Linked DNA regions of Nothobranchius furzeri. The protein of the gene in region 2 interacts with the protein of the main gene of each other region in a biochemical or structural test. Links are inferred from orthologs where the notes say so. Each region holds a gene or a part of one and is shown on either strand. Other genes may lie near its edges.

What was found. The genes of interacting proteins can lie anywhere in the genome.
Region 1: the proteins of rbx1 (region 2) and ube2d4 form a complex in vitro, tested with the Homo sapiens proteins (2 studies listed by BioGRID). The link is inferred for Nothobranchius furzeri from reciprocal best matches to the Homo sapiens genes RBX1 and UBE2D4.
Region 3: the proteins of rbx1 (region 2) and ube2m form a complex in vitro, tested with the Homo sapiens proteins (15 studies listed by BioGRID and IntAct, with this or other methods). The link is inferred for Nothobranchius furzeri from reciprocal best matches to the Homo sapiens genes RBX1 and UBE2M.

What each region holds. Positions count from the first base shown.
Region 1 is NC_091757.1:38,230,430-38,234,650, forward strand, and holds the start of ube2d4 (ubiquitin-conjugating enzyme E2 D4), read left to right. Parts: upstream 1-1,421; 5' UTR 1,422-1,688; coding exon 1,689-1,712; intron 1,713-4,221. UniProt on the Homo sapiens protein: Accepts ubiquitin from the E1 complex and catalyzes its covalent attachment to other proteins. In vitro able to promote polyubiquitination using all 7 ubiquitin Lys residues, but may prefer 'Lys-11' and 'Lys-48'-linked polyubiquitination.
Region 2 is NC_091752.1:65,786,339-65,789,898, reverse strand, and holds rbx1 (E3 ubiquitin-protein ligase RBX1), read left to right. Parts: upstream 1-1,408; 5' UTR 1,409-1,466; coding exon 1,467-1,544; intron 1,545-2,225; coding exon 2,226-2,304; intron 2,305-2,380; coding exon 2,381-2,451; intron 2,452-2,604; coding exon 2,605-2,690; intron 2,691-2,774; coding exon 2,775-2,787; 3' UTR 2,788-2,920; downstream 2,921-3,560. UniProt on the Homo sapiens protein: E3 ubiquitin ligase component of multiple cullin-RING-based E3 ubiquitin-protein ligase (CRLs) complexes which mediate the ubiquitination and subsequent proteasomal degradation of target proteins, including proteins involved in cell cycle progression, signal transduction, transcription and transcription-coupled nucleotide excision repair.
Region 3 is NC_091745.1:29,824,603-29,828,554, reverse strand, and holds the start of ube2m (NEDD8-conjugating enzyme Ubc12), read right to left. Parts: upstream 2,801-3,952; 5' UTR 2,586-2,800; coding exon 2,471-2,585; intron 208-2,470; coding exon 113-207; intron 1-112.

The sequences.
Region 1 (4,221 bases), on a different chromosome or scaffold from region 2:
ACTGGTTGCCCGTGCAGTTCAGGATAAACTTCAAAATTATGCTTCTCACTTACAAATCCTTGAACCATCAAGCTCCTCCATATCTGTGTGAACTGGTCCATTACTACAACCCGCCGCGTGCTCTCAGGTCTGAAGATAAGCTCCTCCTAGCTGTTCCCAATGCACGTTTAAAAAGCCGTGGAGAGAGGGCTTTCTCTGTCTGTGCACCGAAGCTGTGGAACGCATTACCACTGCTAGTGAGGCTAGCACCAACAGCTAGCATTTTTAAATCACGCCTGAAAACTCACTACTTCAACCTAGCTTATACAACATAATTATGAACCTCACTGACATCTGCACTGTTTATAAACTGACTCCACAATTATCGACTTCCGTATTATTGAGGTTCTTTGTAAAATGTTTTTTCCTATTTTTACTTCACCCTGTGTCTTATTGATTTTTAGCTGTTATTTTTGGGAATTTTGTTGTATTTCCTTTTTATCTTTTATCTGTGTTCGACATGTTTATATAACGCCTGTTTAATTAACCAACATTTTTAGTGTACAGCGCCTTGTTTGGTTGTAATGCCTTGTGAATGCGCTTTATAAATAAAATTGGATTGGATTGGATTGGATATGGTACCAGCTAACGTCCTACGGTACCTCTTAGCCAATAGCGGTGTCAGATTCTGAGCAACTACAGCAATCAATTTCCCTCTGGGATTAATAACGTATTTTTGAACTGAATTTAATTAAAATTCAAATGCAGTGCAGAGTTTTTACCCGACAACAGCACAACACTGACAGTTTTAGGCAGAAAATTTAAATTTTAACTAAATTGCACTAAAGTGCAAAACTATTGACTGCATGTGTCTGCAGCATGATTAGACACGCATTTATATAGTTTATCAGGGAAAAAAAGGTTGATTTGGGGTGACTTGCTCTTTAACAACAGCCTCATCACTCCTACTAAATTTTGGCTTGCCATTGTTAAAACAAAATACAGAAAGACAAAATTGCGAAATTGCCCATCTGGATAAAGTGAATTTGATTGGGGTTAGAAAATAAGTAATCATTCATCTATCACCCACATGCAGTAAGTAGCTATTTTCATGTCACTAAAATGCATTAATGTTTTACTGAACTGAAGAGGGAATTGGGGGCCCAGTGTATCCCATATTTGTCAATCTTAGTATTTTTATACGCTTTTTCGATAAGCCTAAGCACTTTTGAAACCTGTACTTTTTACTTCTACCCAAGTATCATGCTTGAATTGATCCTTCAACTTCAACAGAAGTCTTTAAACCCCCTAGTATCTAAACTTGAGTAGTAAATATGTATATTTTTAAAGCCTCTGTTCTGTAGTCAATAAAATGACCCTTAAAATAGAAATCGTGACACTACCGACAGTGCCATTGTAGTTTTTAAACGAAAGCTCGCGATAGTAACTGTTTTCTCGGCACCGAGAAGAGAGAGGAATAGAAAGCTAAATATCTAAGTTGTTTTGTAGCTCTCTGACGAACCGAAAATTAATAGGTCGTGGGGAAATATTTGTCATAGAGCGAAAAAGCCGAAATTTACTGGATGTTAGACGTAATTTCATACCTGTAACTGAAGTGAGGTTTGATAGAACGCGGCTACAGAATCCAAATTGTATGTCTAAGGTGCTAACTGTTAGCTGACAGGCTACCTAGCATAGCCGCCGAAGCAATGGCGTTGAAAAGAATTCAGAAGGTGAGTGTTTATATTTATTAAGTTTAAGACATGATTCAGATTCGATTTTTCTTCCTCTTTTCGAACCGTTTTGATAAAGTACATGTGTGTGGTGTTTTAGAGGTGAACTAGCTACGCCGTTGAGCGTTTTGTTCATTTAAAAAATAATTCAAAGACAAAGGCGAGCTGACCAACGGTGGCCCGGTTTGTGCTTGGCTAACATTAACGTAACTACCCAATTAAGCTTTCATTTGGGTTATTACATCCTGCTCGTCTGACATTTTTCATATTAATCCTGAAACTTTGATAAGGACTCTGGAGTAAGAAGTTGTTACTGTTACTTCGTGGGAGGTTAGCTTTCCTGCTAACGGTTGTAACGTGTAGTCCTTGCCTGGATTTTGTTCTTGATCACTAATTTATCAGTCACATTTATCGTTTTAGTTTACCTTGTAAAATTATGTATGACGACGTATAAATTCGCTGAATGACAGCTGCTCGATTGTTGCCAAAACTGAACCCTAGAGTCAGTGTTGCCATATATGGAATGGCAAATGGGGCACTGGAACAGGCCATGGTGTGTATTTATATAATAGGCTTCCTTACATGAGATGTTAAATAACAGGCTTAATTTCTGTTCAAGCACCGTGTTTTGCTGTCTGTGCTTTTGTGTGTGATGCAAATGTAGATTGGTTACTTGGGCTGTGGACTGAGTTAATTTGATTTAGTTTCGTTTTTGTCCATTTTGTGTTGTATTTTTAATATTTGTAGTTATTATGTGTTTGCTAAACTAAACAGCTTGTCCTTATTTTCTGGAAGTATGTCTATAAAACAACATTTTGTGTTGCACAATGATGTCATGTCTGAAGTTGAATTTTATTTGTACTGAAGATAAAAGAGGAAAAGTGTTGCAAATAGGGCTGCACTGTGCATCGCAAATGTATCGTCATCACACTATCAGCATACACAATACTCATATTGCAAAGAACAGAAAAAAACTGCAATAAAGGATCATCTTAATTTTTTTCTACACATAATAAAGCATATTGTCAGTCAAACTGAAGCATTACGTTTTTGACTGATCAAATAGTCCTTCACCTGTTTGGCCAATTGGGTGAGTTCTTATAGGTTAGATACCGCCACCTAGGTAGACAGCACTTCATTTGGATGGCTAGCAAACACCAGAGTTAGCTGTGTTCTGCTCTTTCTGCCGACTATTCTTTTCCTGGGATCCCCTGAGTCTTTATTTTATTTTTATGATTTGGTTTTTGATACATTTTTTTTGTTCTTGAGTTACTATTTATGTATTGCAAGTCATATAATCATCGCAAAAATAATCACTGTAATTGTGCATCGTAGGTTTTCCTAATATTGTGCAGCCCTAGTGTTAAATACATTGTTTTGCAGGAACTTCAACCACAAGTTGTTGTAGGAATGTATAAATGAATATAAAACTTTGCAGCTCTGACAAATACCTCTCCATATCTTTAAACCGCAGATGTTACAGTGCTTGCTTTAACAGATATGTTCACATAAATGAACCCTGCTGTATGTTTATTGCAGCATTTAATTTGTAACTGTTACTTACACAAGCTGTTGTCTTTTTTTCCCTAATATATGAACTTGAGAAACTGAAAAGGCACATTTTGTAGTAAAAGCATGAAATTCTGCAAAAGTGTTTTAAAGAGCAAGTCAAAGAATGGTGATGTAGGACTTGGGAGTGCAGGCTGCTGCCTGAGGGGTGGTTGGAGACGGTGTCTCCATGCTGCTTTGTTTTGGTCACTTATGTGCGTGAGGCGAGTGGTGTTACGACCCTTCCTGGGGAGTTTGGCTCGTGTGCAAAAAGGAAGGGACAATAACACAGGATTTAAAAGTTAAAATGATGATCAGGTTTATTTACAACAACAACAAAAAACCATAAATCTTTCCATCCACAGGTTGGGAATAATAAAACTAATTCTGCCTGTGGGGAATTAAAACAAAAGTACAAATAACTAGGGATGTCCCGCAGGGCAAAGATTACTGGGTTCTGGACCAAAATAAGAATCTCCAAAGGTCCAAACTCTAAACTGGGTGGTTAAACCAAACTCAAGGTGAAATTTTAAACTAAACCGAAAACCCACGACACTCTAAATGTAATAAAAGGGAGATCTACGCCACAAAAAAGATGAACTCTAAACCAAATCGTAACAGCTTATCCTATCGCAAGAAGCTGTTAGCGAAAATGCTAACAGTAGCTTTACCAACATTAAGTTCAAGTTACCAAGTTTAAATAAACCAAAAATACCCAGCAGCAAACAGACCAGCATGGAGGAGAGACTGCTACCACAAAAACAGCTCTCCTAATGTCTGAAAGAAGCTCCTTTATGAAGGGAGAAACTCTCCCGGTGATTTTCTACATCTGCGGTAGACACGAAGCAGCGCATTTGATCCCAGAAGTTGTTGTCCGTTGCCGGGAGATGAAGGCGGGCAAAACAGGCAAAGAATCTAGTAGCAGACGGACATTGTTCCAGTTCTTCGGTATTTGGCGGAG
Region 2 (3,560 bases):
CTGTTATTTATACTAACTTTGCCGTTAATTCCACTTTAAAACCCTTAATAATTTTAAATGGTATGTTTTGTTTTGAAGGAATCTACAGGAAGTGTAATGCTTTGTTTAGCTTTATGAACGCTACCTGTAGTAACAGTTTTCGGCCGCTAGAGGGCGAAAAATACTCACGACAGCCAGGGAAAATATAATAATGCTAAAAGATTGAGTTCTCATGTTTGAAAAATTTGTACCTTATAACGAATAATTTCTACACGAATGTCCCTGTGTGTGTTTATTAGATGTAGTTGGGTGTTTATTGGTCTTGAACTAATAGTTTTACATCAGACGGGTTTGATTTGACAAACTCATGCTGATAAAAATATTAGTACCTAAATATATGTATCTCATATCACCTATTAAGAATTACATTTTTAAAATGAATAAAAATCCCTCTAAATCTTAGCGAAGCCAGCCATGCCCATGCTTCCAAATGGGAAGCAAATGAAGTCCTCTCGTAGATGTAGTTTTGCCCTGTGGCCGCCAGTGGGCGTATAATCGAATGTTTGTGGGGCTGATAGCTAGCTTCTTTAGCCTATTGATTTAATCTTGTTTAACACGAATAACTGAAATACATTTATCAAGTTTCATTAGTTAAATTGTTTTATTGTGTATTTTCCGATTTTATACTAACTGTGTTTTTAACGCCAATTTAAAAATCGTAATTTTTAAGTTGTATGAATGTAGTACCTGCAGCAACCCGATTTCTCCAGCAGAGAGCGCAAATTAAAGGATTGAGTACGCAGGTGTTTTAATACTCTGATGGATATATTTATTTGCATTATTTAGGTCAATCAAATAAAACGACAGATTGCAAGTAATTGAATTAAAAGTTTATTATATACAAAGAACAACCAGTATAAAGAACCGCATTTCTATTATGTTACAGGTTATGTCTGCTATGTTGGTCTTTTGCCACTGGAGGGCGTCAACTCCCCATTCTCGCTCATTTGCAGCGTTGTAGCTAGGGGAGTGTGTGGTACACAGTAGTGTGATGAGTATGACGCAGTGTGTAGCTCAGATAGATACACCTTTCTATACAGCATGAGAAGTTTTTTTTTTTTTTTTTTGCATGAGAAATTAAGGGTGTGTAAAAGCAATGAATAAAAGCAATACATGTGCTATTGATTTAACAAATTCTTTACAGAGAAATGTTAATAAGCAGGGGTTCCATGGTGTAATGGTTAGCACTCTGGACTCTGAATCCAGCGATCCGAGTTCAAATCTCGGTGGAACCTGACCTTTTAACCAATACTTCTTCAAATATTAAGAGTGTCAACGGTAACAATTCAGAAATACAACCTGATTTTGTTTTTTCAAAAATTATTAAGAAAATAATATTTTCTTTCGAAAATTTGCTTAATCTGGTCGAACAGGAAGTGACGCTATTTTCCGGTAAAACTTAGATAAACGCTTCCGGAGAGTTCAAAATGGCAGCAGCAATGGATGTTGACACGCCAAGCGGTACAAATAGTGGAGCAAGCAAGAAGCGCTTTGAAGTGAAAAAGGTACGATAGTTGAAAGTTTGTCTGTGTTGACTAAACTAAACGGTGCACTTTGTCAGCAACGCCGAAAGGTTTAGCCCAACATTAGCTAACGCTAGCTTGCTAAACACCGTTATCGGTGTTTAGCTGTTAGCCTGCTACAAGAAATAATTAATCATTATTCTGTTTATGGCCTTAAAGTCTAAACTAGAACTTGTAGAGAAATAAGAGCGATGATAAACTCTCAGTAGTTACACAATAACAGCACGATTTAAAAATGGACAAATACCTCTTTAATCTCTTAGTCTACATGCTAAATTAGCTTAGTCAGCTAAGCTGTACATCTCGAAATTTCCCAAGATTTAAAGTATTTAAATGACTGTCACATTTCCTCAGGATAAAATGTTAAGTAGTTTTGATGACAAGGTTTTTTTTCTCCTATTCATTACATAATTTAAAAGTAACGGTACTGATAGAGAAGGATTTTATTAATCAGATTTTAATTAACTCCTTTTCTAGATTGAGGTGTCCATGGAAGCATTTTTTAATCAAAGGTTGAAAAACTTTATTTGTAAGATAACTTTGAATTAGTACTGAATGTCAGAGACCCTACAATGAGCCATAGAATTAAGGTTTTTATTTCCAGGTATGAGGTCCTTCATTTTAAGTTACCTTCCTATGAACAGAATGTGATTTTTGTTCCAGTGGAATGCTGTTGCACTGTGGGCCTGGGACATAGTGGTGGATAATTGTGCTATCTGTAGGAACCACATCATGGATCTGTGTAAGTTCACATAGGGGTGTTTGATTGCATGTGAGTTGTTGGCAGCCCTCTTACACAATTCCTCATCCTTCATCAGGCATAGAGTGCCAGGCCAACCAAGCTTCTGCAACCTCAGAAGAGTGCACTGTGGCCTGGGGTGTCTGCAATGTGAGTTTCTAAGGTGCAACTTTCAGTAGGATGATAGATATGGGTCATTTGACTCTGAAAGGCACTCTACAAGTGCAGATCACTTATTTTTCAGTCTTTGCATCTTTGTTAAACTGCTATCCAGTCGTTTAAACATTTCCTTACCTTCCATAGCATGCCTTCCATTTCCACTGTATCTCCCGTTGGCTGAAGACCAGACAGGTGTGTCCCCTGGACAACAGGGAGTGGGAGTTTCAGAAGTGAGTCGGATCCATTAATGCATATATGATTTTGAGGATTGTTTGATGCTTGACTCAAACACATTTTCGTTTTTTCTTTCGCAGATACGGACACTAGTTGTGATATTGACCTGTTCCTTGGCTTCTGCGAGCATCAACCTTTCACTTTCCATTTTGCTTCCTGCTCATATACCTAGATGTTATTTTACATGTTTTGCTATGTTGTAATTCAATAAACTGTAAAACCATCAGTCTTCAGGAGGATGTAATCACATTTGAATTGAAGTCGTAAAACTAGATTAAGTGCACATGATATGCTCAACCATGCACCTTCATAGTTTAGTTCATGAGGTACATTGTGTTGGGACGAAAGTCACGAGCATCTACAGCCACGTGGAATGACATGAGATCTGACACGGCTGTAATCCTCAAGCTACAAAACAAGCAGCACAGCTGGATTAAACGTCTGGACTACACATACCGCCTGAATAATGAAATAACTCACATGCTTATTTAATTTAGTTTATTTAATAATCAGATTAATTTAAAAACCAATAAAATGGAACAAAATGTTTTTAAATAGTTTTATTGTGAATATTTTTCCAACAGGGTGAGACAGACATCCTTTTATTTGCATTTATAACAGATTAATAACAAAACATGCCAACGCTCGTGAGAGTTCGGCTGTGTTCAGAGACAGACAGAGGTTAAACCACGTATTAAATGGCTGTAGAAACGTTCATATCTTAATACGAGGGGGGAGGGGCAATCTAGCAGTGCAGCCGTTTCAATAAAAAAAAAAGATCAACCTGCTGTTAAATGAAGTTCCAGCTGAAACAAGGTTATCCCAGATTCCAACATCATTCCTAACCGTCGGGATGCTTTGATTAG
Region 3 (3,952 bases), on a different chromosome or scaffold from region 2:
TGACAACAAACCACAGACCTAATCTTTATCTCACACACACACACACGCACACACACACACACACACACACACACACACACACACACACACACACACACACACACACACACACCTCGTCTGGTGAGATGATGAGTCTGAAGTTGAGGAGGTCATCATCATCTGGAAAGCTGATCTCACACGTCTTTGGCAAATTCAACTCATTGATGTCTGAAACACAAACAGATCATTTTAATTATAATTAACTGGATCAGCACCAACAGAACACTTTGAACACAAAAACAGACCACATGCACGTGACTGGTTTGGACAGCCGTTTATTTAACATGATATCTTAAAAACCAGAGTTCCAACTTCAGAGACAACACAGGAATTACAGGGTGACCTAAACTTGTGTGTTTTTGGGCATTACCAAGTCAGACGTCTGAGAGGGCAGCTGAAGAACATGGCTGAACTCCAGAGACCTCTATGAACGTGTTGTGTAGAAATGACTGAGGTGTCAGTAAGATGATGTACAAAACAACTTTCGACTGATTAAACAAACAAGAATCTCTAGTTGATTTACATTCCAACCCTCACATATGGTCGTGGTAAAGAATGACAAAACAAGATCATAACAGGCTGCCAAAATGAAATTTACACAGTGAGGAGTTCAGACATTCAAGGAGGACTGAGTAGAACCGCTGCTTCTTCTCATCCAGAGATGCCAGCTGAGATAGCTCAGACTCGGGAATAGACATAACCATGTTGGACGATAGGCTGGCTCATTTAATACAAGGACTTTAGTTGAGTAGAATGTGGCAGCAGGAGGTTGACATCAGCAAATATCCAAACAATGCCTTGGGGTCCCATCAAAGGAGCTAATGATATAGGCTGGGATGGAGACAGTATGGGTAAATGCTTTAACTACTTCTATAGCCTGTTCCAATAAATAAATAAATAAATGCTCCACTTGCAAAAAGTGCCGCAAAGGGAGCATTTGATCATTCATAAGTGGTCAGCCTGTGGCCATAATGGGGTGCAATCATGTTTTTCACAAAAGATCACATGGTTGCTGTATAACAGGGGTGCTGGGTGATCTCTGTGTCATCATGGACATCCTTTTAACTTGGACATAACTTGTTTTTATCTCTTTTGAAGCCACAGTCCTTAAGTTTTTTTTGTGAGCCACCCCAAAAGGGGAACTGTCCTGTGATCAGATCTTCAATTCTAACAGCCAGGATCTTCTGGATATCTGCACCACGCCAGTTTGCCATCTCCGCTGACACTGTTTGCAAACACGACAGGGACTCCCCATGTTAACTTGCATTTGGAAAATTATTGCCAACCAGGGCTTAGTGGACATTTCATCCATGACCATGGCATCCCCCTCTGTTGCAAGAAGTCATGAACTTCATTCAAAAGTCCAATGTTGCAATAATAGTACAATCAGGTTTCACGGAACGAACTACGCAATATTCTCATCTCGTCAAGCCACCATGGTGCATTCCAAAGAACCACGTGGCGGCAGTATTACCCTGACGTGCTGCTCCAGTGTGTGTTTTGAACCCGGCTCATGCGTCTTTCTAAGCAACGCACTGTCCAGTAATATCACACCTTGGGTCTCTTCTTTGTTCTCCATTTTGCCTTTGCCATCTACTTTTAAACTCTTCAGGGACTTAGGGGTCTAGTTTCAAAAACTAGCCTTTCACAGTGTTTGTAAACAATGCCTCAGTTGCCATGCTACTGCATCATATAGGTGCCTGAAACCCTGAGGCCAGAACAGCACCCTCATAGGCGTGTATTTGAGTGCGTTATCAAAAGTGTAAGCAGTTTAACAGTCATAATGGACAGATGTTAACCCTACCTGCCAGTTTGGTGAGATGATTTCTTGTTGAGGAACCATTTCAATTTCTCACCACCTGACAGGACCAACTAGGTGTCTAACACCTGGGGGACAGGGGCACCTGCGGGTGTTTGACATGACGAGCTCAGTGTGAGCTGGTTTAAGGACAGGAACCAGGCAGGGGGGTGTTTCAGCTCCACTTTAAATGAACGACATACACTTTGACCTGGGCTATCTGACCACCAGTCAGTCACACCTGAAGTTTGTGACAGAGGGCTGACACAGCAAGTTAGCTTGTCCAAAGCTCCCACCAACGCGTAAAACCCGACTAGAAAACAGTGTTTGTGTGGGCTGTTAATGAGGTATGCGTAATAAACATGTGTCTTATATCCTAACGATTGTGTTCTGATAAGGTGGCCCCAAATCGTTACGGAGTTGGAGCGTCTCTGTTTTGTTTTCAAATACAGCAGCAGCAGCTAGCCGTTGTTAGCTTCTGAATAGCCTGCTACCAGTTAGCTGGCCTGAGTTCACGGCTACCGGGCACTAAACGGCTGTGTCCCCCGGTAGTTTGCCAGTAACCGGACAGTCGGGAAGCAGGAAAGACTGGCAGGGGTGCTGAGAGGGTGGTGAGGTGGGAAACCAGCCTACCTTTCTGTATTCGAAGCTGGGCCGCGCTGGCTTTTTTGCCCCCGGCTCCGGCTCTGTTTCCTCCAGCAGATTCCTCGTCTTTCTTCTGCTGCTTCAGGGAGAACAGCTTAATCATCTTCACTTGTTCGATAATCGGAGGCCTAAACTCTTGAGTCCCTTTAGTGTGCGAACTCCCCGTGTGTCCTGAGTGTTAACAGAGCCAAATGAGCCCGAACTGCACCGTAATGTGGATGGAGCCGGTGCGTCTCAACTAATCACACCGAGCTAACCTAGCTGTTAGCCCGCAGGAGAGGCCGGGTGGGGAGGAGGGTGCAGACGTCGCATGGATTGGTACGTCACTAATTGCGCCATATTGGAGAGGTAAACTGGTAAGGACTGTCACGTGACTAATAGGCAAGCCTGAGGCCAACCTTGATAGCAGAAGGGTCATAGTTAGAAAAGCCATAGTTATTATTGTTTTTAATATAATTTCGTTATTTAATATCTATAATTATTGCACACTTTAATTGAATTTATATTCAGGATCTATTTTTTTAACAAAATACATTAAGAAAAAACTACATATGCCAGTAGACTAGCCGTGATGTCATCACGCAAAAGGCGGGGCCAAGGTATATTGCCTGCCCATATTTTATTCACTAGGTTTATTTTATTTTATTCCTTACAGACCGGTGTAAAGATGCACACCGTAAGGTCACCTGCGTGATATGATGAATGCGCTGGTGAAAGACATGTCATGGTTGAGTGGCATTAATGATAATCCAGATCACGCACATCACGCAAACAACCGCTGCACAATAGACACGAGAACAAAAGCCGCGCGCTGCGTTTTGCTCATATTCATGTTAATGCGCGGGGACTAGTTCTTGCGGAGGGTTACACGTGCGCGTAGATGTTAGTGAGAACGAACCCTTTGCGTGTTGTTGTGTGCAGTTGTGTGTGTGTTTTTGTATGTGTTTGTGTTTTTGAAGCCTCGCGGGAGGAAGAGGAGCAGAACGTGCTGAGGGGAGAGTGAGGCAGTCTCACACTGCAGACAGAGGGACAGAGAGGGGAGTGAATGGGCACGACTCAGTCAGCATCACTGTGCCCTTCACTGTATCCTAATCGATCGGTTCGGCTATCGAGACATTTCGACCCTGCACGGGTCCGTTAAGGCTGGCCCGGCCTGGGAGCTCGCCGGAGCAATGGGACGCGAATGAAGCAGCCCGAAGCGAACAGCAGCAGCCCGGCGGAGGAACAAACAAGGAAGCGCTTAGCTGAAGCTAACGGCTCGCTAATATTGATTCTGATGAGTGAACGAGGACCATGCGAGCTGAAAGGAAGAGGTGAGAGGGCGCTGTGTGTGTGCGTGCGTGCGTGTGCGTGCGTTTTCAGCTCAGTCAGTGTAATTCCTCTCCACCTGCCTAATTTACTGTTCATTATCACTGGATACTAAAAGAGGAAGCAACCGCAGGGGGCGGACAGTCTACTAGCCTGCTAACA